Linked DNA regions of Nothobranchius furzeri. The protein of the gene in region 2 interacts with the protein of the main gene of each other region in a pairwise test. Links are inferred from orthologs where the notes say so. Each region holds a gene or a part of one and is shown on either strand. Other genes may lie near its edges.

The links.
Region 1: the proteins of exosc5 (region 2) and tnfaip1 interact in binary tests that used the Homo sapiens proteins (3 or more experiments, as listed by UniProt). The two-hybrid records come from large-scale screens. The link is inferred for Nothobranchius furzeri from reciprocal best matches to the Homo sapiens genes EXOSC5 and TNFAIP1.
Region 3: the proteins of exosc5 (region 2) and fcho1 interact in binary tests that used the Homo sapiens proteins (3 or more experiments, as listed by UniProt). The two-hybrid records come from large-scale screens. The link is inferred for Nothobranchius furzeri from reciprocal best matches to the Homo sapiens genes EXOSC5 and FCHO1.
Region 4: the proteins of exosc5 (region 2) and tfip11 interact in binary tests that used the Homo sapiens proteins (3 or more experiments, as listed by UniProt). The link is inferred for Nothobranchius furzeri from reciprocal best matches to the Homo sapiens genes EXOSC5 and TFIP11.

The regions. Positions count from the first base shown.
Region 1 is NC_091753.1:22,426,137-22,433,655, reverse strand, and holds part of tnfaip1 (BTB/POZ domain-containing adapter for CUL3-mediated RhoA degradation protein 2), read right to left. Parts: intron 5,194-7,519; 5' UTR 5,085-5,193; coding exon 4,838-5,084; intron 4,708-4,837; coding exon 4,538-4,707; intron 906-4,537; coding exon 822-905; intron 247-821; coding exon 194-246; intron 101-193; coding exon 1-100. UniProt on the Homo sapiens protein: Substrate-specific adapter of a BCR (BTB-CUL3-RBX1) E3 ubiquitin-protein ligase complex involved in regulation of cytoskeleton structure.
Region 2 is NC_091753.1:58,573,580-58,582,066, reverse strand, and holds the start of exosc5 (exosome complex component RRP46), read right to left. Parts: upstream 5,032-8,487; 5' UTR 4,972-5,031; coding exon 4,872-4,971; intron 4,272-4,871; exon of another isoform or gene 4,172-4,271; coding exon of another isoform or gene 4,153-4,171; intron 3,714-4,152; coding exon 3,600-3,713; intron 1-3,599. UniProt on the Homo sapiens protein: Non-catalytic component of the RNA exosome complex which has 3'->5' exoribonuclease activity and participates in a multitude of cellular RNA processing and degradation events.
Region 3 is NC_091748.1:67,266,698-67,274,488, forward strand, and holds part of fcho1 (f-BAR domain only protein 1), read right to left. Parts: coding exon 7,791-7,791; intron 4,376-7,790; coding exon 4,277-4,375; intron 4,139-4,276; coding exon 4,042-4,138; intron 3,949-4,041; coding exon 3,831-3,948; intron 2,867-3,830; coding exon 2,842-2,866; intron 2,003-2,841; coding exon 1,942-2,002; intron 175-1,941; coding exon 1-174. UniProt on the Homo sapiens protein: Functions in an early step of clathrin-mediated endocytosis. Has both a membrane binding/bending activity and the ability to recruit proteins essential to the formation of functional clathrin-coated pits.
Region 4 is NC_091757.1:45,000,280-45,004,455, forward strand, and holds the start of tfip11 (tuftelin-interacting protein 11), read right to left. Parts: upstream 2,801-4,176; 5' UTR 2,691-2,800; exon of another isoform or gene 2,673-2,690; intron 2,253-2,672; 5' UTR 2,251-2,252; coding exon 2,045-2,250; intron 1,956-2,044; coding exon 1,790-1,955; intron 1,700-1,789; coding exon 1,543-1,699; intron 1,435-1,542; coding exon 1,307-1,434; intron 1,191-1,306; coding exon 1,029-1,190; intron 870-1,028; coding exon 678-869; intron 539-677; coding exon 359-538; intron 249-358; coding exon 114-248; intron 28-113; coding exon 1-27. Other genes in the region: srrd (SRR1-like protein), read left to right, coding at 3,091-3,302, 3,533-3,573, 3,640-3,821, 3,909-4,007. UniProt on the Homo sapiens protein: Involved in pre-mRNA splicing, specifically in spliceosome disassembly during late-stage splicing events. Intron turnover seems to proceed through reactions in two lariat-intron associated complexes termed Intron Large (IL) and Intron Small (IS).

The DNA.
Region 1 (7,519 bases), about 36 Mb from region 2:
ATCTCCGATCACGTCTTTGATGAAGAGGACACGGCTGTTGAAGCTGAGCGTCAGTCTGTCGAACAGCTCGATGTTCTTCAGCAGGTTGTCATCAGAGTTACTGTGGAGAGGAAAACAAAGTGAGCTGGAGGGGAGAGTCTCAGGGAGCATCGTGAACTACGACTGCTTAAATGTCAGGAAGAGGCCGTGTCACCTGGTGTAGGAGTACTTGTTATTGCTTCTGTTGTACACCAGCTTCACTACAGGCTAACAGACAAGAAAACACTCATCACTTATCTAGATTTTACTCATTTAAAGGTGCACTATGTAATATAGTGAGAATTTTACAATGAGAAAATCCCCAAAGAGTCTAATGTTTCAGTCATTTTGGAAGGAAGGTTATACTGAAACATATTTCATATCCAGCTGGTTGCTGGGTTGTCAGGTTTCCTCCTTTCAAAACAAAGGAAGGAGGGGGCGTAACTACCGTTTACTTCAGTGAGTGTGGGGGTGTCGTGTCTCCTGCCAGCTAATACTGCAGCGTTGACAATTTGTCATAATTTGACGACGGCCGGCAAAAAGCTCCAGAGTTGTTTAAAGTGGCTGCAGTAACCAGATTTTACCACAGGATGTCACTTTCCCTTCATTTCTACACAATGCACCTTTAAAACACCAAGAAATAACAGAAACATCAAACTGACGCATTTCTTTAGCATGAAGGCAAGCAAGCACACACACAATTCACCTTAAAAAGAGACTAATTAATGACAATAAGTTACAAAAGATTTAAAATGTGGTTTTGTAAAGTATACTTCAGGTTATGTGTGTGTGTGTGTGTGTACTTTAGAGGAGGTCTGGATGAGCAGCTCCTCTTCTCTACAGGAAGTGATCACAGGTATAACACAAAGAGGCTGCTCGTTCTTCTCCTGCAGAACAGAAGTAGCACATCGATTAGAAATCAGACATCACAAAATGTGTTGAGAGAGAAAAAACAGTGGAGTCAAATCAAAATAAATGTCCTTAATTAGGTTTAGATACATTTTCATCAATATAGAGCTTCCTGGTTTTCAGGGCGGATTCTGATTTACTGAACAAAAGCATAATGAATAGATTTCAACATGGTGATGATGTCACCATGTTTGGGTTAGTGGGCTAGTGATGATGGCCATGTTTGAGATGAGCAGCGCCTCGCCTGGAAAACAGAGAGCAGACGGACGCAGCAGGGGGAGCGGCTGAAAGCCGGCATTTAAGTCGGACAGATTTCCCTACATGTAGCTTGCGGGTGATGATGTCTGAAGATATCGCGTTAGCGTTCACACTTTAATTCTGGTGCCTGTTAGCAACTGAAACACATCCTCACGTGCTTGTGGATATCATATATTGTATATGAAATCATGACTGTAATAATAAGTAAAGGTCATCAGCTGTATGTTCAGTGTGCTCATAGGAAACGTGAGAAAAGAACACAAAACGCATTCCTCTTTATGGCCTATATAGTTGTCATCATCAACGTAACATGATTTACAGAATACATGTGACCAACTAACATTTCATGTTCTACCACCGGATGTTTGGATCAAAATGTGAACCAATCAGATCTTAGATCAGGTGAGAGCCAGGCGTTTCCCGTCATCCTCTAGGTTTTGCAGCCGGTGGAGAGCAACTGCAGCGCCTTGCTCCAAAATCTGCAGCCACCTTGAACTCATGAGGTTATCGTTGCCTACGTAGGCGTTAAGTCGGACACAAATCTAACCAGCATGCACTGCGCGCCGATTACCAGTGATCTATCTGCACAGAACTGGCTCATCTGGAACACAGCCGATGTCACCATGTTTGGGTTAGTGGCTACTAGTGATGATGTCACCATGTTTGGGTTAGTGGCTACTAGTGATGATGTCACCATGTTTGGGTTAGTGGCTTCTAGTGATGAAGTCACCATATTTGGGTTAGTGGCTACTAGTGATGATGCCACCATGTTTGGGTTAGTGGCTACTAGTGATGATGCCACCATGTTTGGGTTAGTGGCTACTAGTGATGATGTCACCATGTTTGGGTAAGTGGCTACTAGTGATGATGTCACCATGTTTGGGTTAGTGGCTACTAGTGATGATGCCACCATGTTTGGGTTAGTGGCTACTAGTGATGATGTCACCATGTTTGGGTTAGTGGCTACTAGTGATGATGTCACCATGTTTGGGTTAGTGGCTACTAGTGATGATGCCACCATGTTTGGGTTAATGGCTACTAGTGATGATGCCACCATGTTTGGGTTAGTGGCTACTAGTGATGATATCACCATGTTTGGGTTAGTGGCTACTAGTAATGATGCCACCATGTTTGGGTTAGTGGCTACTAGTGATGATATCACCATGTTTGGGTTAGTGGCTACTAGTAATGATGCCACCATGTTTGGGTTAGTGGCTACTAGTGATGATATCACCATGTTTGGGTTAGTGGCTACTAGTGATGATATCACCATGTTTGGGTTAGTGGCTACTAGTGATGATGTCACCATGTTTGGGTTAGTGGCTACTAGTGATGATATCACCATGTTTGGGTTAGTGGCTACTAGTGATGATATCACCATGTTTGGGTTAGTGGCTACTAGTAATGATGCCACCATGTTTGGGTTAGTGGCTACTAGTGATGATGCCACCATGTTTGGGTTAGTGGCTACTAGTGATGATATCACCATGTTTGGGTTAGTGGCTACTAGTGATGATATCACCATGTTTGGGTTAGTGGCTACTAGTGATGATATCACCATGTTTGGGTTAGTGGCTACTAGTGATGATATCACCATGTTTGGGTTAGTGGCTACTAGTGATGATATCACCATGTTTGGGTTAGTGGCTACTAGTGATGATGTCACCATGTTTGGGTTAGTGGCTACTTGTGATGATGTCACCATGTTTGGGTTAGTGGCTACTAGTAATGATGCCACCATGTTTGGGTTAGTGGCTACTAGTGATGATGTCACCATGTTTGGGTTAGTGGCTACTAGTGATGATGTCACCATGTTTGGGTTAGTGGCTACTAGTGATGATGTCACCATGTTTGGGTTAGTGGCTACTAGTGATGATGCCACCATGTTTGGGTTAGTGGCTACTAGTGATGATGTCACCATGTTTGGGTTAGTGGCTACTAGTGATGATGTCACCATGTTTAGGGGAAGTCTATTTAAGTGGCACATCTGTACAAAGTGGCTTTGCAGTTAAACGTGTTGGAAGGATAAACAAATGATAAAATAAAATAAATAAAAGGATCTCAGATTGCACAAATGAAAAAGTGTAGTTAATTAATTAATTGAAACATAATGTATAGAAAACAGTGACAGACTAACTGTGATTTCCTCTGAACTGGATAAAATTTGGATGAAGTTCTTGAATCAATCAATCAATCAATCAATCAAATTTTATTTGTATAGCACCTTCTACAACATTATCCGAAGCCCAAGGTGCTGAACAACATCATTAAAAGAAAAACATTCCCAGTACATGGGCATAAAAGCAGGATAAAAACATAAAATCAAAAAATATCAAGCAAATACTATTACAGATAAGAGATATCGGAATAAGACTAATCGATAAAAAAACAAATGTCGGACAAAATAAAATCAAGCATCTGGGTTAAAAAGAAGAATAGTTAAAACCATAATGTTAGGGCAGTTCAAGTGACCCTAGCGCTGAAACGCAATCAGATAAAAATGAGTCTTTAAACGAGGCTTAAAGACTTGAAGGAATGGTGCCTGCCTAATGCTCAGTAGTAATTCATTCCACAGAGTTGGAGCCAAAATAGAAAAAGCACGACAACCCCTCGATCGAAATTTCGGCCGGGGGACCACCAGAAGTTCCTGCTCGGCTGAGCGAAGAGACCGAGATGGAGCATACCTGTTCAAAAGCGCAGTAATGTACGAGGGGGCACTGCCCTGGAGGGCCTTATAAACGAGAGTTAAGATTTTAAACTGAGCTCGATATTTTACCGGGAGCCAGTGCAGAGCAGCCAGCACTGGGGTAATGTGCTCTCGACATCTAATGCCTGTCAGGAACCTAGCCACAGAGTTCTGCACAAACTGGAGCCGTGCAACCGTGCACTGGGCCAGACCAGCATACAGAGCGTTGCAGTAGTCCAGCCGGGAAAGGACGAAGGGATGCAACACAGACTCCAGATGAGCTCTGGACAGCAGAGGCCTGATCCTGGATAGTCTTTTCAGGTTAAAGAAACAGGACCTCACCACTGTATTTACATGAGTGTCAAGATTAAGTGATGAGTCGATTTTAATCCCCAAATTACTGACCATTTTCTTTTCATAGGGTGTCAATGGGCCAAGGTCAATATCAGCACCAGAGCCATTTCTTCTGCCAGGACTAAGTATTATGACTTCCGTTATAATAAAAGTAAAGATTTTTGCATTAATGTAAATTGCTGCCAGTGACCAACGGGATATACATTTAAATAAAACATGATTACAGTGGGCTGATCTCGGTTTTCCTGCTTGTAGAGACACCTTCATAAATCAGAATGCAACACAATGGCATATTGATTTATAGTAACTGACCAGCAGGGCGTTCTGACAGAGCTCTACGAGGTCCTGGATTAGGTAGTACTTGGCCTCAGCCATCAGCTCCTGCACGGCCTGCCGACCTTTGGGTAGGCCAACGGTTCCATCTCGTAGGAAACACAGGATGCTGTCAAAGTGTTTCCCGCTACGGTCGATCAGGATCCAACCTGCAAGGAAGCAACAGTCTATGATGACAGACTGTTTCCTGATCCATGCTGAGAGTAGATGAAAGGATGGTAGTAGCCAGACATGAATCCCAACAGTAAATTATAGTGCTGAGACAGATCACCAACTAACCGTCTTTGTCGGTGAAAACCTCTCTCTTTCCACTGAACATGGCTTTCAGCATGGAATTTTGTTTGGTCAGAACTTGCAGCGTGGTGTCAAACAGCATTCCTCCAACGTTGAGATGGACATACTTGTTGCCCAGACCCACGGCTCCTCGGTAGCTGCAGGTCTTGGTCTTGGGACAAGCCATGAGAGGGGCTGGGGGTGCAGGGGTATCCTGAACATGATGGTGGGGAAGACAGCTGTCCCCAGACATGTCCTTTTGGAGGTAGATGACAACCCTGCAGACGGAGCTACGCAGGTGCCCCGCCGTGGTGACAGCTACTGGAGAGGCTGCCTCGACCTCTCACAGCCCCAGATCATTCCTGGAAAAACAGTGCTGCGAGTTAGACCCACAGTCATCGGAGGAAGTCAGGTTGAATAAACGGGTGTGTAAACTGATTGACCGGTGAAAACGGGCCACAGAAATCACCACAGTTGATGTGGAAATAAGACCACGTCAAAGACTAAAGCATTCAAGTGTTAAAAGTGATCTACACATAAGTGTTTTTAACCGACCTGGCTGTTCTCACCGAGAGGGCACAGAGCTCCTGGAGGCTCTTTAAATATCAAGTGAAGATGAAATCACCACACGGAGCTGCAAAAGACACTCAGAAAGCTGCAGGTCCTTCTCAGACAAGTCTGACTGCAAAGGTTGGCTACAGCCTCTAAGAAGAAATTTGTGGAAGAGGCACAGTTTCTCTGGCTCACAGCAAATAGTCAATTCAATCTAAAAGAAGGTTAAATGTCTGAATGAATGAATGAATAAAGAAAGAATAAAGAAAGAAAGAAAGAAAGAAAGAAAGAAAGAAAGAAAGAAAGAAAGAAAGAAAGAAAGACAGATCCTACTGGAAGTGGGTCCAGTGGGTCTCTACCTGTCCACCTATAAAACACACCAGATCATGTTCTGACGGTCACAACTCAGTGGAGGCTTTAAGAACCATGTGATCCTAATGTGTTGCATGTTTCAGCTCACTGAAACGGTTTCCTTCCTGTGTACTTATTTCTGCATGAATGATGTTAACAGCTGATTTTTGAGGCTGTGCATGAACATAACCGAAGTGGAGGTGATCTAATCTGTTGTTTGAGTTCTGAGTGAATGCCTCAATTTCACTTAGATTAACTGAAGAAGATAATGGGTCAATCTTTCACTCTGCACCAAATTGTGTTTTAAAAAATCAGAAACAGCACTAAAATGTCTTATTATTGTTAGGGAATGGAGCCCTCTGCGTATCAACCCCTCACAGGTCGGTGCTCCACAGCCGGTGAACACTGAATGAAAAGCTGGAAGGCTGGACGACTCAAGGTGAGTAAAGGTTTATTGGGTGCAAGTAAAAAGGACGTTTTGACACTATGTGTCTTCGTCAGAGTAACCAATGTCATAACTCTGACGAAGACACATAGTGTTGAAACGTTAGTCCTTTTAACTCACACCTAGGATATTAGGAAAACCTGAGATATGCGATAACAGTGACTAATATTGCAATGACGATATGACTTGCGATAATTAAAAACTCAACTCAGCAACAAAAATAATCAAAATTAATAAATTACAAAAAGAAATCATAAAAATGAGAAAAGCAAAAGATGTGAGGAAAGGGAAAAATAAAATGAACAATAAAAGGCAATCAGTGGATCCCGGGAAAAGCAGAAAGAGCAGAACAAAGCTAACTCAGGTGTTTGCTAACCATCAAAATTAAGTGCCGTCTGCCTCAGGGGCGGACATCTAACCTATGAGAACCCACCCAATATGCCAAAGAGCTCTATTTGATTTGTTTAAAAAACATAATGCTTCTGCTTGATTGACAGAATGCATTATGTGTAGCAAACATCTGAGCTGACCATTCATTGCTGTATTTACCTGTTCTTTGCGATATGCATATTGCGCATGCTGATATTGCGATAACGACTTATTTGTGATATATTGTGGATCCCTACTCACACCTAATAAACCTTTACTCACCTGAATGCTCCAGCCTTCCTTATTTTCAGTTTTATTGTTCTTTTATTTTCTTATTAGACTTTTCACATGGTCTACAGGAGGTGTTTGAACCTTAAAGAACACAAAGTGTTTAATAAAACAACCAAACACTTTAAAATTCTCTTTCTGTTACACTTTAAACATCTAATAGCTCCTGTGATTCATAACTATTTGTATCATTCTCAGTTAAAAGCACTTGATAAAATACCTTAGTTGTTATTTAAACGAATACGTCAAAGTTTAATGTTTATTTTTGAGAGATTATTTGGTAATGCGGTTGTAGTCATTTTCAGAGGACATCGTACTGTGTACTTCCTGTTTCCGTCTCAGATAGATGGTGCACCAGTTTATCTGAAGTCCAACAGATCCAAAACACCTATGAGGCTCCAGTAGGGAGTTTTTCATTTACTCTTGTCCCAAAACAATCAGTTTAGCTTAAGATGGAAGCTGCTGCTTTCTGGTTAAAGTTGTGTGGCTGCTAAAAAATTCCGATAAAAAAATAGTTTGGGGCCCAGTAACAGTTAGGTTAGGTGATGATAACTAAACTCCGTGTAAACACAATATTTAGTTTCACATGCGTGTTAACTCTGATATACAGTTTCAGTTCAGAATAGCACAGGTCAGTGGAAACTAAAGCTTTTATGCTGTATGTTTATTCGTTTTACTGTATC
Region 2 (8,487 bases):
TTATAATTACGTTACTGAGAAGAGATTAAATACTTTAAACAGCAGAGGTTTTTGTACTTGTGTGTGTTAAAGACGCTCAACTAAATATGTTTTAGAAACTCTTCTGGGGCTTTGTTATAAAGATTAAAGCCCCATCATCATCATCATCATCACCACTCTGGTGAAATTCGTTCTCTGCATTCGACCCATCCCTGAGGGAGCAGTGAGCTGCACACACGTCTGCGCCCGGCAACTATTTGGTCGTTTAAAAGAGCAAGTCACCCCCAAATCAGCTTTTTTTCCTGATAAACTATAGAAATGCGTGTCTAATCGTGCTGCAGACACGTGTTGTCAATAGTTTTGCACTTTAGTGCATTTTAGTTAAAATTTTAATTTTCTGCCTAAAACTGTCAGTGTTGCGCCGTTGTCAGGTAAAAACTCTGCACTGCATTTGAATTTAAATCTGCCATCGCTATTGGCTAAGAGGTACCCTAGAACGTTAGCTGGTACCATATGATGTCACAATGTCGTTGTGAGCCTGTGTGTGTGTGTATTTGTTAGTGGCTCCACCCTCTCGGTCTGCTAGGCAACAGCATTTGTTGCATTGTTCAAACAGGAAGTGGGAGTGGAGTAAGACTCTGGTAGGGGGTGACTTGCTCTTTAATCACACGAAACAACCTCTTAATGCTGAGTGTTAAGCAGGGAGGCATCGGGTCACATTTTTAAAGTCTTTGGTACGACCCGACCGTGGATTTGACCCCTGATCGCCCAGTCCCAGGGCAGAAACTCTACCGTTAGCTGGTAGGAGGAAAATGCTATAAAAGTGCTAAATGTTTTAGGCAACTCTCCTTACATCTAGGTCTGAAACGATTCCTCGAGTACCTCGAAAAATTCGTGTACAATTCTCAAACTCTCTGCCTCGAGGCTTCGTTTAATTCATGTTTAATTAATTCATGGCTTAGCAATCGCCCGTGGTCACGTTTCACCCGGACTGAAATAAGTGACGCACATACACACAGCACTGAACGCACACGCGAGAAGCGAATGTAACCTAACTTTCTCTTAAGCCATGGCGGACGACGTGGACCCCGGTGGAGTGTGAAAAAGACACAAAATATCAAAGGTGAGGGAGCATTTTTCACGTGGTCAGGCGGGAAACGTAGTCCAGAGTAAATACTGTAAAATGGATGTAGCCCACCACAACACCACATCCTCCATGCTGCAGCACCTGACCAGGAAACATCCATATGTAAATGTCACTTCTGCAAGCGGTCTCGGAGGTCCACTTTGCGACTTTTTCGTTTGTAGCGCTCAGTTTCAGCTCACACTGTCGTCTGGTAGCAACACGTCGGATCTAAAAATGTGCTAAAAATAGCAGTTTTTACACGTCAGACTTTTCATTGTGTTGTTATTGACTTCTGTTGTCCCTCGGGGTCGCTGCAGGAGGACACGGGTGTTTATGAGGAAAACGAAAGAAAGTAAATAAATGTTTTGTGATCAGTATAATTTGACAAAACCACGGCAAACATGCTTTCTCGACAATCCTCGTTAGTGTTAGACAAAAAGTGCAGAAATTAAAACGGACGTGTGTTCATAGGGAAACAGCTGGCGAGATGTTTGCGCATGCGCCGTGAGCGGTTCTGGTTCTGTTTGGGCCGCAGCCGCTCGCTGTGCTACTTCAACAGTTATCCTCCTAGTTTTTGTCTGGCTTGCAGGCTGGTAGATCCACACGAGGAGAAAACCGGCTCAGGTTGTTTACTTATTTTTTGCACAGGCGTTTGTTTACTGTGAAGTAAAGTTGAAGTTTTGAAAACTAATTTTGAATAAAACTTGAAGAATAACTGGCAATTGCGTGCTAATTTTAGGAGCTCTTTCATATTTTATAACATGCTATTTGATATAATGGTTTACAAACACAAAAGGGTCATTTATTAGAGTACTCGATTACAAAAATATTTGATAGCCGCAGCTCTAGTTCTGGCCTTAATAATGAAGCATTTTAAATGATGCACCTGAGCTGTAACTATGGTAACGCAAGATTCCATAGCTTTACCATAGTGACAGTCTATCATAGGTGACAGACAGCGCTCCATAGGGAGTCTAAGCCACGCCCATCTACTTCCGGACCACGGGTCCCCAGAAGAACAAAACAATGAATGCAAGTCAGCGGGGCTAAAGACACTATTTTCTAATTCTGCTTGTTATGTGCCATGGATTTCACACATGATTAGGTCTGAAACGATTCCTCGAGTACCTCGAATAATTCGTGTACAATTCTCAAACTCTCTGCCTCGAGACTTCATTTAATTCATGTTTAATTAATTCATGGCTTAGCAATCGCCCGTGGTCACGTTTCACCCGGACTGAAATAAGTGACGCACATACACACAGCACTGAACGCACACGCGAGTAGCGAATGTAACCTAACTTTCTCTTAAGCCATGGCGGACGACGTGGACCCCGGTGGAGTGTGAAAAAGACACAAAATATCAAAGGTGAGGGAGCATTTTTCACGTGGTCAGGCGGGAAACGTAGTCCAGAGTAAATACTGTAAAATGGATGTAGCCGACCACAACACCACATCCTCCATGCTGCAGCACCTGACCAGGAAACATCCATATGTAAATGTCACTTCTGCAAGCGGACTCGGAGGTCCGCTTTGCGACTTTTTCGTTTGTAGCGCTCAGTTTCAGCTCACACTGTCGTCTGGTAGCAACACGTCGGATCTAAAAATGTGCTAAAAATAGCAGTTTTTACACGTCAGACTTTTTATTGTGTTGTTATTGACGTCTGTTGTCCCTCGGGGTCGCTGCAGGAGGACACGGGTGTTTATGAGGAAAACAAAAGAAAGTAAATAAATGTTTTGTGATCAGTATAATTTGACAAAACCACGGCAAACATGCTTTCTCGACAATCCTCGTTAGTGTTAGACAAAAAGTGTAGAAATTAAAACGGACGTGTGTTCATAGGGAAACAGCTGGCGAGCCATGTTTGTGCATGCGCCGTGAGCGGTTCTGGTGCCGTTTGGGCCGCAGCCGCTCGCTGTGCTACTTCAACAGTTATCCTCCTAGTTTTTGTCTGGCTTGCAGGCTGGTAGATCCACACACGAGGGGAAAATCTTGTTTATAATAATAATAATAGTTTATAAACACAAAAGGGTAATTTATTAGAGTACTCGATTAATCGATAAAAGATTCGATAGAGTACTCGATTACAAAAATATTCAATAGCTGCAAAAGTTTTAAAGGTAAAAGTGCACGAAGGTCATCAAGTGTAGAGCAAAATGTACCTGTTAGGAGTGGGATTTATTACGTTTATGTTTTAGATGAAACAGGAGATGACACCAGTTTTTTTTTGTAAAAACCCTCATAAAAGGAAACGACTGAGTACATCACGTTTCTGCTTTGATAAAATGACTTGGTGTTGTATTTGATGTGAGGATTCTGCAAACAGCAACAGCCCAAAATGTGTCTGAAACCCGGCGTTCACCTTTTGTTTGGTGACACACCTGTTCCTGTTGACATTTTGGCTCATATCTAATATTTAAAAGTGTTTGGTTTAAGAAAACAAAACAAAAATGACAATAATTCATTTGTTTTCCATTCTGGAAAATAAACTACCTGCTGGTCCCACTTTAGGCTGAAGCAACACCTCCAGAGTGGCCCGATCATAGATTTCTTTACTGACTTTGACCTCAGCAGGCCCGTAAACGCCGGCCATCACACTCGTATCCCCTTTGAAAACAAACAAACAAGGTAAACGGTTATTAGTATATTTCTAATTTTACAGAAGCATTCATTTCATTCCAGAACTGCGCTGCTCTGGGTGGCTGCATGTTGGAGTAGCTCTGTTGACTATATGGAAGTTTTGCCTTTTTTGGACATTTTTTCTTCTAGTTTCTCAAGAAAAACTGTATTTTTTGACATTTTACTTTTCTGTTTCTGGTGCTGTGAAGATTGGAGGATTTTTTCTGCAATTTTTTCACTTTTTTAGCATTTGTTATGATGTGTAACCATGGCAACAAGCTGGTTTACAATCGGGAGCAGCTGATTAACATTGGAAAGGCTGAAATAACACCTCGACTGAAGCCACAAATCCCAAATGAGCTAAAACAAAAGAAGCGTGGGTGCAGAGCGGGAGCGGGACGGAGACGGAGAAAGAGGAAATTCAAACCATCTCTTCCATCGATCATAATGGGCGATGTGAGATCACTGGCCAACAAGATGGAGGAACTCCAAGCCCTTTCGAGGACTCAGCCAGAGTTTCGGCATTTTCGGAACCGCTGGAGGAGATAAAGCAAAGAAGGATTCTCCAGAGAATCAAGAAAATGATGGACAACCCTGAGCATTCTCTTCACAAGACTGTCCGACAACGGAAGAGTGTCTTCAGTCAGAGGCTTCTTCAGTTTGGCTGCAACACTGACCGCTACTGGAGATCCTTCCTGCCAACAGCCGTTGTAATATACAACACCTCTTTGATGACTTGATTATTATTATTATTCTGAGCTACTACAGCAATCAGTTTCCCTCTGGGATTAATAAAGTATTTTTGAACTGAACTGAGTGAAGTAAGAAACACCTAGAAGGTAAACAAAACACCAATCTGTGAAACGCCTGAACAACACTGGTTGATTTATTTTCAACGTAAAAAAAGAAGCTTTGTGACAATTTTCAAACATAAAAAGGAAAACTTCAACCAAAGGTGTAAAGGCCACGGGTTTAAGTCGAGGGAAACGCGTTTAAACACGCGACACCAAACCTCATATTTACACATTCACTTCCTTTCTTCTGCTTTTAAGATGCTTTTCGGCGAACAGCGCTCCTCTGCGACTCGCGCAGCCTGTTTGAGTCTGAATAAAAGACCAAATCACGGACATAAATGATGATTGTTACCCTGGACGAACGACGCCGAGCCGTCCGGTCTGGACAGCAGATTCTGTTCACAGCCGAACTCTCTGAGAGAAACATTATTAGAAGCAGAAACCTCCATCATGCCGCCTTCTTCGAGAATATGTTTGTCGCAGGGGAATTACGTCATCGGTTCTTTCAAAGTTAAACCGGAGACATCGATTTGACACTTCTTACAAAAACGTATTACATAGGTGTCTTGCGTTTTAATTTTTTATGATCATAAGTAACATTTTTCAACAATAATCTTTTTTATATATGCTTCTGATCGTTTATTTAGTCATTATTTATTTTGAAAGTACAAAACGGAAAGCGCTATCCATCGAGTTGTCAGTTAACCACTAGGGGGCGACAAAACCCCATTCTTTCATTTGTAAACACCATTTTAGAATGCTGCGTGAATAACCAGAAGCTGTGTTCGTCATTACTGGTTTCGTGTTTAACTTGATGCTGTCTTTGTGAAGCAAGTTGTAGTTTTTTGTTAAAGCAACTACTTTATTCATTTTACTTCTATTTGCCTTCAAATTTTGATCTTCTGAGAAAACTGACAGGTGCTCCGCAAGTGGACACCCGTTTTTGTTGCTTTATGTTTACAATTTAGGTAAAATTTTCAATAGCAAAAAATGCTTCTTCGTTTTTCTATTTTTTATTTATTTTGTTTTTGGTAATTGGTTTAAATATTTTAAATACATACTTGAAAGCATAAATGTTTCACAGAATATGTTTGCTGTGCTATGAAAACCTGTTTCAGACCTTCTGGGCCTAAGTAGGCTGTATAATCTAGTATTATCATAGTTGACTGGGTGCTTTGGAGGACCCACAGCACCCAAGTGGAGCTCGCTGCAGAACCACAAAGGCAGAGGATTAACTTGTTTCATATTTTATGACTTTACTATTTTGTTTTTAATGTAAGTCTGATAAAGATCATTGTGATGTTATTACTTAGTTTTGATCTGTGTGAAGCACTTTGTGATTTTGTCTGTGATGAGTGGTATATAAATTTCACTTACTTTATATGTATCATGTGTTAAATATAATAAATCCTAAATACTAACTACATAGAAGTATAATTATATATATTTATACACACACAGATATAAATAAATAAATATATATTTATTCATACACACACACACACATATAGATATAAACAAATATATATATATATATATTTATATAGATGTGTGTGTGTAGCCTGCCTTTCTAAGTCTGAGACATAATCCAGCTCCCCCATAGCCCTAGTGACGATAACTGACGTTGACTGAGATTTTAAGACAAACATCAATGCTGATGATTTTATTTTACATGTAATTGATGACATAGATTGGTAAACTAAACCAAACAGCAAAACACCAGGTACTAATCTGTGTTGCACATGCAAGACACACGGATATCTCTTTTGTCTCTTATGTCATGCATGAAAACTCCATATCATCTCTGAGAAGGTGAAAATGAAGGGAGACCGGGTTTCATCCTCATCCATATCGTGTGTAGTCACGAACAGACGGCCATTGCTGCGTCGTCTTCATCCACACTGAAGATGTCTGGTGGGATGACCTATGTAACAAAGTGTTGTTGGTTTTCCTTCACCCAGCTCCAGGCCACCATGATGCCACTCATCACAGACACGTCCCATATGCAAAATGATAATGAATTCCAATAACAAGGAAATGAGTCATGCTCTCGTCGTTGAATACAAATACACAAACAACCAATAAACATTCACTAGATGCTACATACCTGTACTTCTTTTCATTGGGTGACCTCCATAGTGTCTGGCTCTGTTGGGCTGAATTGACTTTGAAGAAAAGATTTTCCCCATGAAATATTACAAACTCCCCATGTACTGGCAACTCACATCCTGGAAATTTCCTGCAAAGTATTCATACCCAGCCAGAGGAAATGTCTTCAGTAATTGTTGGCACCACCCATGGATGTAATTTGGGGGGGGGGGGGGGGGTACAGGGGGGGACATGACCCCCCCCCCCCCCCCCCCACAAAGTCAAGCTTTGACCCCTGCACTTTTTACCATCCAAAAACAACATTACGCTATATTAAATTGACACTGGTTGAGCTCTAGGACCATAGCCTAGTGAACTAGACCAAATTCTTGCTTTGCAAAGTTTGGTCTAGGCATGCTCCATTGGAACCTCCACAGCTCCTACCAGGACTCTGGCTAGCCAATCACAGCTCTCTAGAGGGGTTTCAAACACATAAAGAGCTGTGATTGGTCCATAATGGTGGGCCAATCATAGTGCTCTATCTGCTTAGTGAACAAATCACAGAGCTTTATCCGCTTTGTGGGCCAATCAGGGCACTCTATATGCCTGGTGGGTGGGATGATGCAACAGAGTGAAACAAGAGTATGTCACATTCATTGTCCAGTAGCATGCGGAGATCATTTGAAAGACAACCGTAGAACCCGCCCCACAACCGAGAGCCGTCAATGGAGCGTGGCCAGACTAAATAATAAATTTATTTAGTCTGGCTTGCCAGGCTACTAGGACCAAGCAGAAAACAACCATTTGTGTTGAAGCCTGTTTCCCATTAGAACATACTGTAAAGATCCCCACCCCGTGTCCCCCCCCACTTCTAAAGTGAAAATTACATCCATGGCACCACCAACTCCTGATTACGGGCATGTCTGACTAATAATATATACAAATTGAAAAGTTCTTTATTTAAATTTAAATTGGTCTCGCAGTGCATTTTTTAAAATAACGATAAAAACTCACTGGAGCTAAATCAAAAGGCATGTCCAGGGTCTCATAGAGGGCATTCAAACTCCAACGGTACATCCACAAATGGCATTTAAACTGTAAGACCACTGACCATCATCGTGTCTGCCCCACAGTCATCCCCTCCCCGCTGCAGCTGGCCTCCACACTCCGCACATACGGCTTCTTTGGGAATCAATTCCTTTGAAATGTCCTCTAATGTTTGGGAGCCAGTGACCAAATCCTGGGGGAGATTTTCCGGTAGAGCTGTTTTTCATGATGTATCTTACCATTCTCATGAGATCACTGTTGTCCTCCGACTGGTACTGCCTCATCCTGCAGTTCCTCCTTTGTCTCAGCAGCATCACCACCGTCAGCGGCACCCTCTTTGGTCCTGAACATTTAGCCACACTTTTGTGCAAGCACAACTGTCTGGGTTTGGCACATGGGCAATGCCATGACCTCTTTCATGTCGAAGGCCGCCATCACCCTTCCCAGTCTGCTGCAGCACGACACTTTGGGCTCAGAAACTGATATGAACTTTGTTGAGGACGGCCCTCCAACTGCGACATCAACTGAGAGAGGCACTCCTGCAGCAGCAGATGCGCTCTGGAGGCTCAAGCAGCTGTTTTCTCCCATCCCCAAACATTCGCCATGTCCGACAGCACCTCTTCTTCTCTGCTTTTTCAAAGATGGCGCCGCAGACGGCTGCCTTGGTACTTTGGTGCGCTGTTATTGTTCTGTTTTTGTGTGTAAATTGCGTATCTGGGTTCTCCTACTCAAGAGAAGAACTCATAAGTTACAACACTATGATTCCGGTGGACTTAACCTGGTTTTTTGTTGCATCCGGGGCCGATTCAATATCAACTTTGATCAGGAAAGTG
Region 3 (7,791 bases), on a different chromosome or scaffold from region 2:
CTCTTCTGTTGGGCGGCAGAGTGAGCGCCCAGACGGTGGCCTTCAGCTCCTTCTCCGTGGCCACAGAGCTGCTGCTGGCCTCCGGTCTGATCTGGACGTGGAACTTCTTGGGCTCCTCATCATCGAAGTCTGAGTCGCTGGAGTAGAAGTTGTTCTCTTTTTCATCAGAGCAGCGTTCAGGAGGAAACGAGTCAAGAATAAAAATAACGGTTTTGGTGACGAAAAGAAAAAAGGCCATTAAAAGTTTAATTTGAACTATAAATCTTCTACATTTAGAAATACAGACGTGGACAAAATAGTTGGTGCCCTTCGGTCAACGACACAAAAACCCACAATGGTCAGAGAAATAACTTGAATCTGACAAAAGTAATAATAAATAAAAATTCTATGAATGTTAACCAGTGAAAGTCAGACATTGATTTTCAACCACGCTTCAATGGAATTACTGAAAAAATAAACTTATAGACCAGGCCTGGACATAAATGACAGTACCCCTAACTTAATATGTTGTTACACAACATTTTAAGGCAATCGCTGCAATCAGACGATTTCTGTAACTGTCAGAGACTTCTGCAGCAGGTATTTTGGCCCACTCCTCATGAGAAAACAGCTCCAGGTGTCTCAGGTTTGAAGAGCGCCTTTTCCAGAAGGCACGTTCCAACTCCTTCCAAAGATGCTCAACAGGATTGAGGTCAGGGCTCATAGAAGGCCACTTTAGAATAGTCCAGTGTTTTCCTCTTAGCCATTTCTGGGTGTTTTTCACTGCATGTTTTGGGTCATTGTCTTGTTGCAAGACACTTGACCTGCCACTGAGACCAAGCTTTCTGACACTGGCCAGCACATTTCTCTCCACAGTCCCTTGATAGTCTTGAGATTTCATGTACCCTGCACAGATTAAAGACACCCTGTCCCAGATGCAGCAAAGCAGCCCCAGAACCTGTATGGTCGTTAAATCAAACATCTATGCGTACCCGCCATTGGATGTTGGTTGTTGTGTGAAGACACAGATGTGAGCATGCCATACTGTACTGATTACAAATTCCACCAACTTGTTGTGTGGTCATTAATAAAGGAATCTGAATCTGAATTACTTGTGTCCTACCAAAACACAAATTAGAGCTTTATAATTCTTCACATAAAAAAACCACAAATGTAGAAAATTGTGCAGAAAAATGGAGAAAACTCTCTAATCCCCTGATGCATTAAAACACTGTTTGGAGGAATTTAGAGTCTGTTCATCAAAATCCCAAGAATAAATGTGTTGCAGACGGAGTTTAACACACGACTAAGGATAGTTTCAAACTGCAGGCAAAAGTGCATGAAATCTGATTTATTTCCCCACATGTGACCCATATCTGAACAGCACAGATCCCATTTTTTCAAATCTGACCAAGGTCACTTTCGTATGTGGTACTGATTCCAGTGCATATCTGATGTCTTTGAAAGTGACTGCAGTGATCATGTCGAATTAAAACCGTGTCCTATGTCACCGAGTCAGCTGAGGTGAGCAGGTGTGTTGATGCTCTCGAGGAGAAGCGCTGACAGAAGGACTTCAGGAGGGGCTTCTCCATGAATGAACGTAATTTCGGAACATTTTCGGTGAATTATAATTCGAGAAGACGGCGGGAAAAAGGAGTAAAATAGTTTACCTCTTCACATCACAACTCCGCCCCTCACTGGAGAGAGCTTGATGTCGCACTTCAGTCATAATGTCAACAGCCACACGAAAAAATCTGGTTTACTCAAAAAATCAGAATTGAGCAACAGGGCCTGCAGTGTGAATGAAACCCAAGTCTAGATTATAACATATTTATGAGTCTAAAGTCTTTGAATAATCCAGCAGAAGAGAGGATGACTTAAACACGGATGCTTTTAAGTAGTGTTTGGCTATTTTTTTCCCTAAATATCCAGATGCATCAAGCAGGAGCAGAAAAAGGATATCATTGTGAGTGCTGTCAGCTCTGATGACAAATCCCTCATCATCCATTTCCAGCGGTGAATTCTGTAGTAAACAGAGCAGAGGGAGGCAGACAGCAGCCGAGTCAGCAGAAACAAACGGTGCATTTCTGACACCCAGAAGCATTAACACACCATCTTTCAGAGCTCTAACAGAGCGTTCTCTAAGCGTAGCTGATTGAGTAAATCGACCTTACAGACGATGCAACACTGATGACACAAGTGTGGGTTTAGTTATTCCTACAAGTACAACCACTGTCCTTGTCAATAGATGTAAGACAGAAACTGAATTAAAGGTCAACCCAATTGTTTGGGTGAAAATTTTGTTTTTTATTAGTGAATACGTCATGTAGAAAATGTTTTTTTTTTTTATAAAACCCTCCCTCGGCTAAGCAGTTGCCTCTGTCGAGTGTTTTCAGAAACATGAAACTTGTGAAAGTATAAAATTTCGGCATCAGTGGCTCTGTGATGCTCTGTTTTATGCTCTGACTTCTCATTAGCCTGTTAGACGGCTGTTTGGCAGTGTTTAAGTCCTTTTACACACACACACACACACACACACACACACACACACACACACACACACACACACAAGCATGTACAGATACACACATGGCTATGTGCTGTCCATGTGCTTGGAAGATAACCTCCCAAATGTCTTCTGGGAAGTACAGGAATAAAAATGGGAAACCCCACACCATCCATGACCCTAACCCATCACACACTCATGACTCTTCCCAACACCACCTCGCACAACAACACACCGTTTTTACAGATTTTACGCCTTCAGAATACACACACGCACAAACGAGCCGTCTGCTATTTAGGGCAAAGATTGACAAACGAGCTTTACGCAGATGAGTGTGAATTACGTCAATTACTTACCAACGTGTCCATGACAGCCGAGTCCCTACGAACCCAGAAAAAAAAAACCACAGGAGTTTATTAAACTTTTCAACAACAGCTCAAAGCAAAGCTCTATTTTTTGATTGAGCAAAACTTTAAACTGAAATCAGACATGACCAAAAGTCCTAAAATGGTGATTCAAATGTTTGTTTTTTCCATCCATCGATCTAGGCTGTTATCAGATGCTGAATGTGAATTTGACTCAAAAATCAACACTGTGAGAATTAAAAGTTGCAAAAAAATTATATAAAATCATTCTGACAAAAATCTCGTCACACAGCAGTAGGATCAAGACAGGAATATCGCAGGAAGTTCAAACATTCCTGCACCGCCAAAATACACACATTATGATTTTACATAATGAAATTCCAAAGGAGTGCATTAACCTAATAGTTAATAAACTAGAAATTATGTTATGTAAATCAATAAATAAACAAGAAATCTCATTAAATACCTTACATAAATGAAAGAGAATATTTTATCTTTGTTTGAACTGAAATCAGCTGTTTGACACCAAACTGCAACCACATATAAAGAAGACATGATCCGTCCTGCACTTAAATGTTCCTGTTGTTTTACAAACCTACAGACTCATTCTTGTTACGCTGTTTTTGACATCAACTGCAAGGTGTCAAACATACAAAACTGTTGTTAATTAAACACTAGAGTTACTGAATTTACATCAGATTCTAACAAGTTGAATCGCTTTATTCAGTCTTCAGTTAAACTGGTGCACAGGCTGTCAATCATGTCCTTGCTGTTCAACAATATTCACTCTGACTGAAATATAGTGTTCAGACATGATTTTGACATCTAGAATTTCATCATGATGAGTCAAGAAAACGAAAACTTCAGTGAATTTATTCCAATTTCCTTTCTATAAACCACTCGGTTAAAATACTGATTTAACCAGGTAAACACGGAGGGCTTTAGGTGTGTGTGTGTGTGTGTGTGTGTACTACACTCACGTAGAGTCTGGCTCCTTGTCCCTCTTGCCGAGGCCAGGGATCCTGAAAGTTTTAGCTCGAGTCTTTTTCCCACCCTCAGGAGTCAGAGCTGTCATGTACTCCTCAAACCCAACCAGAGCTGCAGACAGCAACACAAACATTATCTAAATGATGTTTGGAGTGTGAGTGTGTGTGTGTGTGTGTGTGTGTGTGTGTGTGTGTGTATGTATACCTGGTTTGTCTTTGCCCGTGCCTTTCTGCTCAACAAATTTCTGAATGAGTATATCGATGCCGATGTTTTCCACATTCTGTTTGAATTCCTCGTGAACCTGAAGTTTATTTTTAAATAAAGTACAATTTATAAGAAAGTTTTTAGTTTTCACTGCCAGAATAAATATTGAAGTCACTGAGAAAAAAAAAACTTTCCTTAAGTGCTCCATGATAAGAGCAGATCGGCTCCAACCTACCTGTCCCACCTGGACATGGGTGTCCTCTATAGAGTGAGAGTAACTTTTGATCAGCTGTCTCATCTGACGCAGATGAGCTTCCTCAATCTCCTGAAACCTCTACACACACGCGCACGCGCACACACACACACACACACACACACACACACACACACACACACACACACACACACACACACACACACAGGAGAGTAACATGAAAAAAGCAGAAAATTTTCATATAGAAAATCTACCCAAATATGTTTTATAGACAATAAAATGTGTAGCCTTTATAGACTTCATTTGTGTAGTTAGATACCTTTAAACACTATAAATGGCATGAATGCAACTGCTTAAAGCAAATTATGTCCATCCATCCATTTTCTGAACCCGCTTTGTCCAAGCAGGGTCGTGGGGGTGGGTGGGTGGGGGGGGGGGGGGGGGGGGGGGGCTGGTGCCCACCTCCAGTGGTCAATGGCCAATCAGGCGGGGTACACCCTGGACAGAGAGCCAGTCCATCTCAGGGCAACACAGAGACACACAGGACAATCAATCATGAACACACACACACACTTAAGGACAATTTAGACAGACCAATCAACCTAACAGTCATGTTTTTGGACTGTGGGAAGAAGCCAGAGTACCCAGAGAGAACCCACGCATGCACAGGGAGAACACGCAAACTCCATGCAGAAAAATCCCAGGCTGGGAAGCGAACCCAGGACGTTCTTGCTACAAGGCAACAGCTCTAACCACTGTGCAGCGCAAATTATGTCCAATTATTAAATTATTCACAATTTAAGCTCTCTCTTCTTAAGAGAGAGCTGAGCCGGAAGGCAAAGCTCTCGATTTACCGGTCGATCTATGTTCCCACCCTCACCTATGGTCACAAGCTTTGGGTAGTAACCAAAAAGAACAAGATCTCGAATACAAGCGGCCAAAATGAATTTTCTCCACAGGTTGTCTGGGCTCTCCCTTAGAGATAGGGTGAGAAGCTCAGTCATCCGGGAGGGGCATGGAGTAGTCCCGCTGCTCCTCCACGTCGAGAGGCGCCAGTTGAGGTGGCTCGGGCATCTGGTCAGGATGCCTCCTGGATGCCTCTATGGTGAGGTTTTTAGGGCATGTCTAATTGGGAGGAGATCCAAGGGAAGACCCAGGACACGCTGGAGGGACCATGTCTCTTGGCTGGCCAGGGAACGCCTTGGGATTCCCCTGGTAGAGCTGGCCCAAGAAGCTGGGAGAGGGAAGTCTGGGCGTCTCAGCTTAGGCTGCTGCCCCAACGACTCGACTCCGGATAAGCGGCAGAAAAATGGATGGATGGATGGATGGTTGGATAGACAATTGATGAATTTAGAATATTCAGATTATCCTTAAACAAAGACGCCATTTAGAAGAAATAATAATAAAAAAAGCTTCAGGGATGCAGTGGGTCATCAGGAGGACTGCTGGAGTTTAGCTTTTAATTTGGTTGCATCATTTGTCACCGCCTGCTTTAGGCAGACTTGATGAGGTGATTCTAGGCTTTGCTGAGGACATAAGCCTGTGAGTAGATTTTTCTTTGTGTGCATGTTCTTGTTTCTTTGAGCCAATTATTATACATTTTTATGAGGTGTACGAGTGTGTGTGGGGGTTTCCCAAACACCTCAGTGCAGCCTGGTGAACAGACACCGAGAGAAAAAGACCAGCACAGCTTTCGTCTACATGAATTAGTTTAATCGTGCTCTCAGATCAGTTTCTCTTCTCCTTTTATTTAGTCTGGTTATTGGGAGCAAACATGGCACGCTGTTATTTAGTCTGTTTCTACCTGTTTCTATCTGTTCCTCTTTTTCATCTGCTCGTGTCTTGATGAGGAAACCGCATTTAGTTTCAGTAAGGATTCAAAGATGAATTCAGACTGATTTTATCTGACACAAGAAACTCTGGTTTCAGCTTGTTTTCAGACTAGCTCATTTGGTAACCGGGACATAACAGGATTTCCTCTAAACTCTCAGCTCATTACGACAAAACTCTTTAGAAAATAAAGAAGCTTGTAGATTTTTTTTCCTGTTTGCAGTAGATCAGAGGCAGGGTTTTGGTACTGGAGGTTTCTCTAATATTTCAGAAGCGTCTGGTTACCTGCGGGAAAAGATGCCTTGTTGAAGATAAAATGAGCTAAATTAGCTTAACTCACTCAAAGATGATAAAAAATATATTCATTGATAATTTATATTTGGTTTGTTTCTTAAAAACTCACCCAAACACCAAATTGTGTATTAACCTTATTTTATGACCAGTAATTATAATTCTTCACAAGTGTGTGACACACATTTTTGAGCCTTTAATGAACACATAAACATAGTTTAAAAACATTTTTCTACACATTTTTAAAGTAGGTCAGACTGTCTATGCAGGGCTGTAGTCAGGGGCGGCGTTAGGCCCGGCTACTTGGGCTGAAGCCCCGGATGTTTCATGAAAAGCCCCGGATCTAAATCGCGGAAGTAACATGCAGTACCAAAGTCCAACAGAGAGGGAGCAGCTGGCAGTAGTTTGTATACAGCCTGCCTGAACCTCCACCACTGAAGAAGAAGCCCTTCAGCAGCCGGCTTCTTCTACACTCTCTGCCTGAAACGCATGAGTGAAGATTGACATAAGGACGTTTTTTTAGACACAAAGTACAACGACAGAACCCCAGCTTTGATGAGACTGGTGTTGACTCAGGTTTGAGTCTTATTTGAAAATATTTGTTGTGCTGCTGGTTTGCCTAAAGTTAGCTTATCAGGTAAAGTTGTTGGAGAAAGAAAGGGAATATGTACTATCATCTCACACTAAACACTAACAGGAACAATACTCTGCCCTGAAAATGCTTAATATGTAGCTTCAGATTAAAAATTATGTGTTACAAGACAAATATATATGATGTTGACTAGTGCGTGTCATGTGTGTGTGCGCGAGCGCGTGCGTGCGTGTGTGTGTTAAGCCCCGGATCTTCTTCAGTCCTAAATCCGCCCCTGGCTGTAGTTATAAACCACGGTTGCAACAAAAGGTAAAGTAAAAAAGTCAGTTTTTCTTTTGGTTTAACCGTCCGACCTCATTAAAACGTGTCACTAAAAACCAAAACAGGATGTGTTCTTTTACTCTCTCTTATTTCTGTGGTACCTGGGAGAACGCTTTACTCCCCCAGGTAACGCGCTCCTTCCTAATTAAGACCAGACCTCCCCCTTCAGAACCATTACAATAGGTAATTGGTCACAAGGATTCCATTTATCAGTTCAAATGTAAAAACACAGAGGCGCTCATTAGGATTTGTTAAATATTCCCATGGAAACAGCAGCCGTAGCCATGGAAGCATGGAGGCAGTGATTAAAGGTAATGAGCAGGTTGCAGCGTTTGTGAGGAGACGGGTGGGTGTTTTAAAGTCAGGGGTCGAGGTTTCCTTTTTAGGAATGACGTGATGTTAGACAACAAAAGAAGGGATAAGAAGGGGCTCTCTTGTGGTGGGGGTGGATTTGATAAGGAAGAAAGGGGTGGGAGATCAATGGCTGGAGTCACAGCTGACC
Region 4 (4,176 bases), on a different chromosome or scaffold from region 2:
GATATCCTCCAGACAATAAGAACTGTCCTGAAAAGATCAGAAAGCGTTCAAGAATTAGCTTGGATATTAATCATTTACTAAAAATGTGGTTTCCTCTAACTGTAAAAGACTACCTTCACAGGGTCCCAGGAGGAGAGTTTCTCTTTAAGCAATGGATGAATGACAGCCACAGCCAAATCTGCCAATCCCATCATCTTGTATTCCTCATAATAATCGGTTTGTAATGTCTCAAAGATCTGGGCACACTCCTGAAGAGACAAGCACTACAAATCAGCTTCACAATTATGAAATATAAAGCTGGAACTCCTTAATTTGAACAGCTTGCAGACCGGCTCCAGTCAGTGTTTGTAACACAAACCTGTAGGGTCGGGCCCTCTCCCGGTGCCGTCTCTTCAGAAGGAAAACGCTCCACTAATGCTAAGACAGCTTCCATTCTTCGGATGGATTCTTGCTCTGACTCCAGTCTGCTCTGCAAAGCTTTTGACTCATGGCTCAGAGAAACAACCACGTCTTTTTCATGCTGCAAACGTCTGGCAGACTACAAAAGATGCACAAAAAAAAGAAAGAACGCTTTAGTAGAGATTACAAGTTCTTCACATTTTTCTCAGGTTGCTGACTTATTAATATCCTATTCTTGTAGCTAAATATGTTGTAAATAATTCTTGGTTTCCTCTTACCTGTAATATGTTTTGTTCTGTCAGGTCTATCAGAAGCTGCAGATTATGCTCAAGTTCGGGGAGAGCAAAGCCAGATACCTTTTGATCCTGTGAAGCCAAGCTTGGTGGAGCTTCATCGGGAACACTGTGTTTGTGAGACATCTGACTATAACTGTAGTATACCTTCTGCTCTCTTCCAGTCATATCTATTACCTAGACCAAGGGAAATGTCAGGATAAATAAGTACTATGAATGTAGCCAAAATGTACTTAAATTACTGATGCTTAATAAAACACTGAATCCTCAATTTTGCACCTATGCAGCCATGCCAACATAAAAAACAAACAGCACACAAGTGAAACATAAACATACCTTGACCTGTGCCAGCTCTCCTGCAGTTGCAGATGTGCTCCGACTCACTATTTTACCTTTAGCCTTCAACTCATCTGCTGTTCTGTAAGAGTACTTGGGCTTCTTTTTTCCTGCAGGCCCAGCTGGATCCTTACGCCACTGGCCAAGTTCCTTCTGAAATTCCTATATAAAGATATAGAAAATTACCACAATGACTCTATAGACTCATTTGATCAATAAAATCAAACACAAAAATAAAAACAACATTGTAAAGACAATTTTTTTTCTCAGTACTTTACCTTCTCCTCTTCTTCCTCTGAGTCAACTACAGGAAAGTCCTGAAGACTCTGCTGGGTTCTTTCATTGCCATAAGCACCAACCGCTCCTTTTCCCTTACGGATCTTTGCCTCAATGGGGTTTATGATACCTACAGAGAGAAAGTACATTACAAGTGTTTCAATTCCACCACATCCATGTAAAAAACAAAACATTTTACAACATTTTTAAAAGAACAATCTAAGTCAACTAAACACACCTTGAGCATTCTTCCCCAAGCCTTTCCCTGGCTGGTAACCCATCTTCTGCAGAAGTTTCTGTCCAATTCCTTTGGTGTGTTTCTCCCAGTTACCAATTCCTTGTCCAGACTGTATTCCACCTGCAAACCTCTTAGACTGATTTCCACAGAAATTACCCTAGAAAAACATTTTTTCCCAACATCATTATTTTCACTATTTTCTTCTACAAACAATGGACATCACAATGTGCGCACATTTAAAAATTACCATCTGGAGTTTTTTGGGTGCAGTCACGCGTGAAGGGGGGAGTTTTGCAGAAGTATCATCATCAGAGTCGTCAGAGCTGCCTTCTTTTTCCCGCTCTTTCTCTTCAGCAGCACTCTTACGCAAACCACCACTCACAAAGCTCACAGGTACAGTGTAGTCTTTGGATCTAAAAAGAAATCATAAATATTTTATTAGAACATTTGGTTAGAAATTGTTTCAGAATTGGAATTTGTGTCAAAAGCAAGCCATTTATACTTCTTGCCACCAAAGCTGGGCCTTTCATCTTCATCAGAATCCTTCTCGGCCCAGATGCCATATGTGGCCTGCTCCTTGCTCTGCCTGAATTTGCGACGGTCTGGGTTGAACTCATTGGCTAAATCCCAGTCAGTAATCTCAAAACTCTCCACCTCCACACCTTCCTCTTCCTCCTCCCTCCGCCCGTAAAGGTGGGACATTGACATCTCTGCAAGTTATAAACAATATAGATCTTAATGAAATGTGACCGAATCCTAAAATTACACGTGCATTTATTTTCCAGGAAAGAAACATTGTGACTTCAAAATCAGGAAAAAGATGCATATCTAGTTTATTAAAGGCAAAGAAGAGGGAAATAAAATGCGATAACTAAGTCAGGTATGAAGTCAACGTTTGTGGTTTAACTAACGATAAATTAATAATGACAAAAAGGTTTACAATCAATAACGATGAATACACAAATAAGACTAAACGTGAAACATCGATTATAAAACTATACAAATCTGCTTAGAAGAAAACGGAGCGAAGGCTAATTACTAGCAATAACGCACGTTCTGTAGCATTAATGTAAATACACACAACATGTTAGTAGTGATAAAAAACGACGATTTCGTTTAAGTTAACTTACTAAAATATTAATTACAACCTTGGTCTGAGATCAAAAACACATATCTTATGTGGTAATAAGACGAACTGCAGAGACACGAACTGTTGACGAATGATATATTTTTGTCAAAAGCAAGTTCTTCCGGTTTAGCCGTGTCACTTCAATTAATGTACACTACAAATAATTTCATTAATATTTTAAAAGCAGCTTAATTAAAACCAACCATTCAACACATACATTTTTATAAAGCGGTCAATATTTTTTTTAAAAATAAAAACAATCGAACAACAGCAAATCTGTTGAATTTACGTGACTTTTAACTAGACGGAAATCACACCGGAAACAGAACAATGTGTTGCACTTGAATAGGTCATCTGCGTTTCCATTTTTAGCTTTCAGCTCTCAAAATGCTAAATTTGGTTTTGAGTTCCATGTTTTTATGATACTTACGTTTGGAAATGTATGTACTTATGTAAATTACATCTGGCAATTCACACAAATGTCGTACATATCCGATGAATGGCAGGTAGCTCGGCGTCGAAAAGGTGTATGTAGGCAATTTAAATCTCATCAAGTTCCTCTAAACTCACCATCATGCCATCAGGAGCAACTGGATGTTGGAAAACTCATCAGAAGAATCAGAGACAACATGTAAGAAGTTACGCACACACACATGTATGTATGTATGTATGTATGTATATATATATATATATATATATATATATATATATATATATATATATACATATATATATATATATATATATATATATATATATATATATATATATATATATGAGTAACAATATTTATCTTGCATAATAGGTGAAATCATACATCTTCCCATAAGTTATTGGTTTGCTTATATCTTTCCTTCTTAGGTTTGAACTAAAGTACGAAGATTTTTGGAAAGACTGGAATGGTGAGTTTGTTGTAGATATGTAGGTTGAGTTAAGCTTAGTTATTTAGTGGATCATCTTCTCTTCAGAGAATTTCCAGGCAGCAGCAGCATCCCTAAAACCTCCAGGGGACAGTGACACTGAAAATCAGCTGGAAAAAGCCCCAGAAGAAACACTGATGTGTGTTTGTTATGGTCTTGGGTCTTTTTCTTCATGTGTAGCCGCTCGCTACCAACTTGCCATGTTGCTGCTTCTTCTGGATGCGAGACAGGTGAGAAGATCGACTCCATCTGTGTTATAAATGATACTTGTGAAACTCTGATGCAAAATATGTGCTTTATTGCCCCTGTCCATGTAGATTTTACTGCGGGACTGCTATGTTTATGATCCTGCCTTCTCCTTTGCTGAAAAGAATGTCTTAAGAGAGCTGGGTTTGACTGTACTCACAGAAAATGAGGTCAGTTGACAAGAGCTTGAGTATTTTTGAAATAAATAACAGTAAAACACTGTTTTCAGGTATACACTATGAAGTAGATTATACAGATATAATGTTACCATAAATACCATTGTTACAAATAAACAACTGTTACAACTCCAGCCATTTCATTTTGCTATCTGTTTGATTT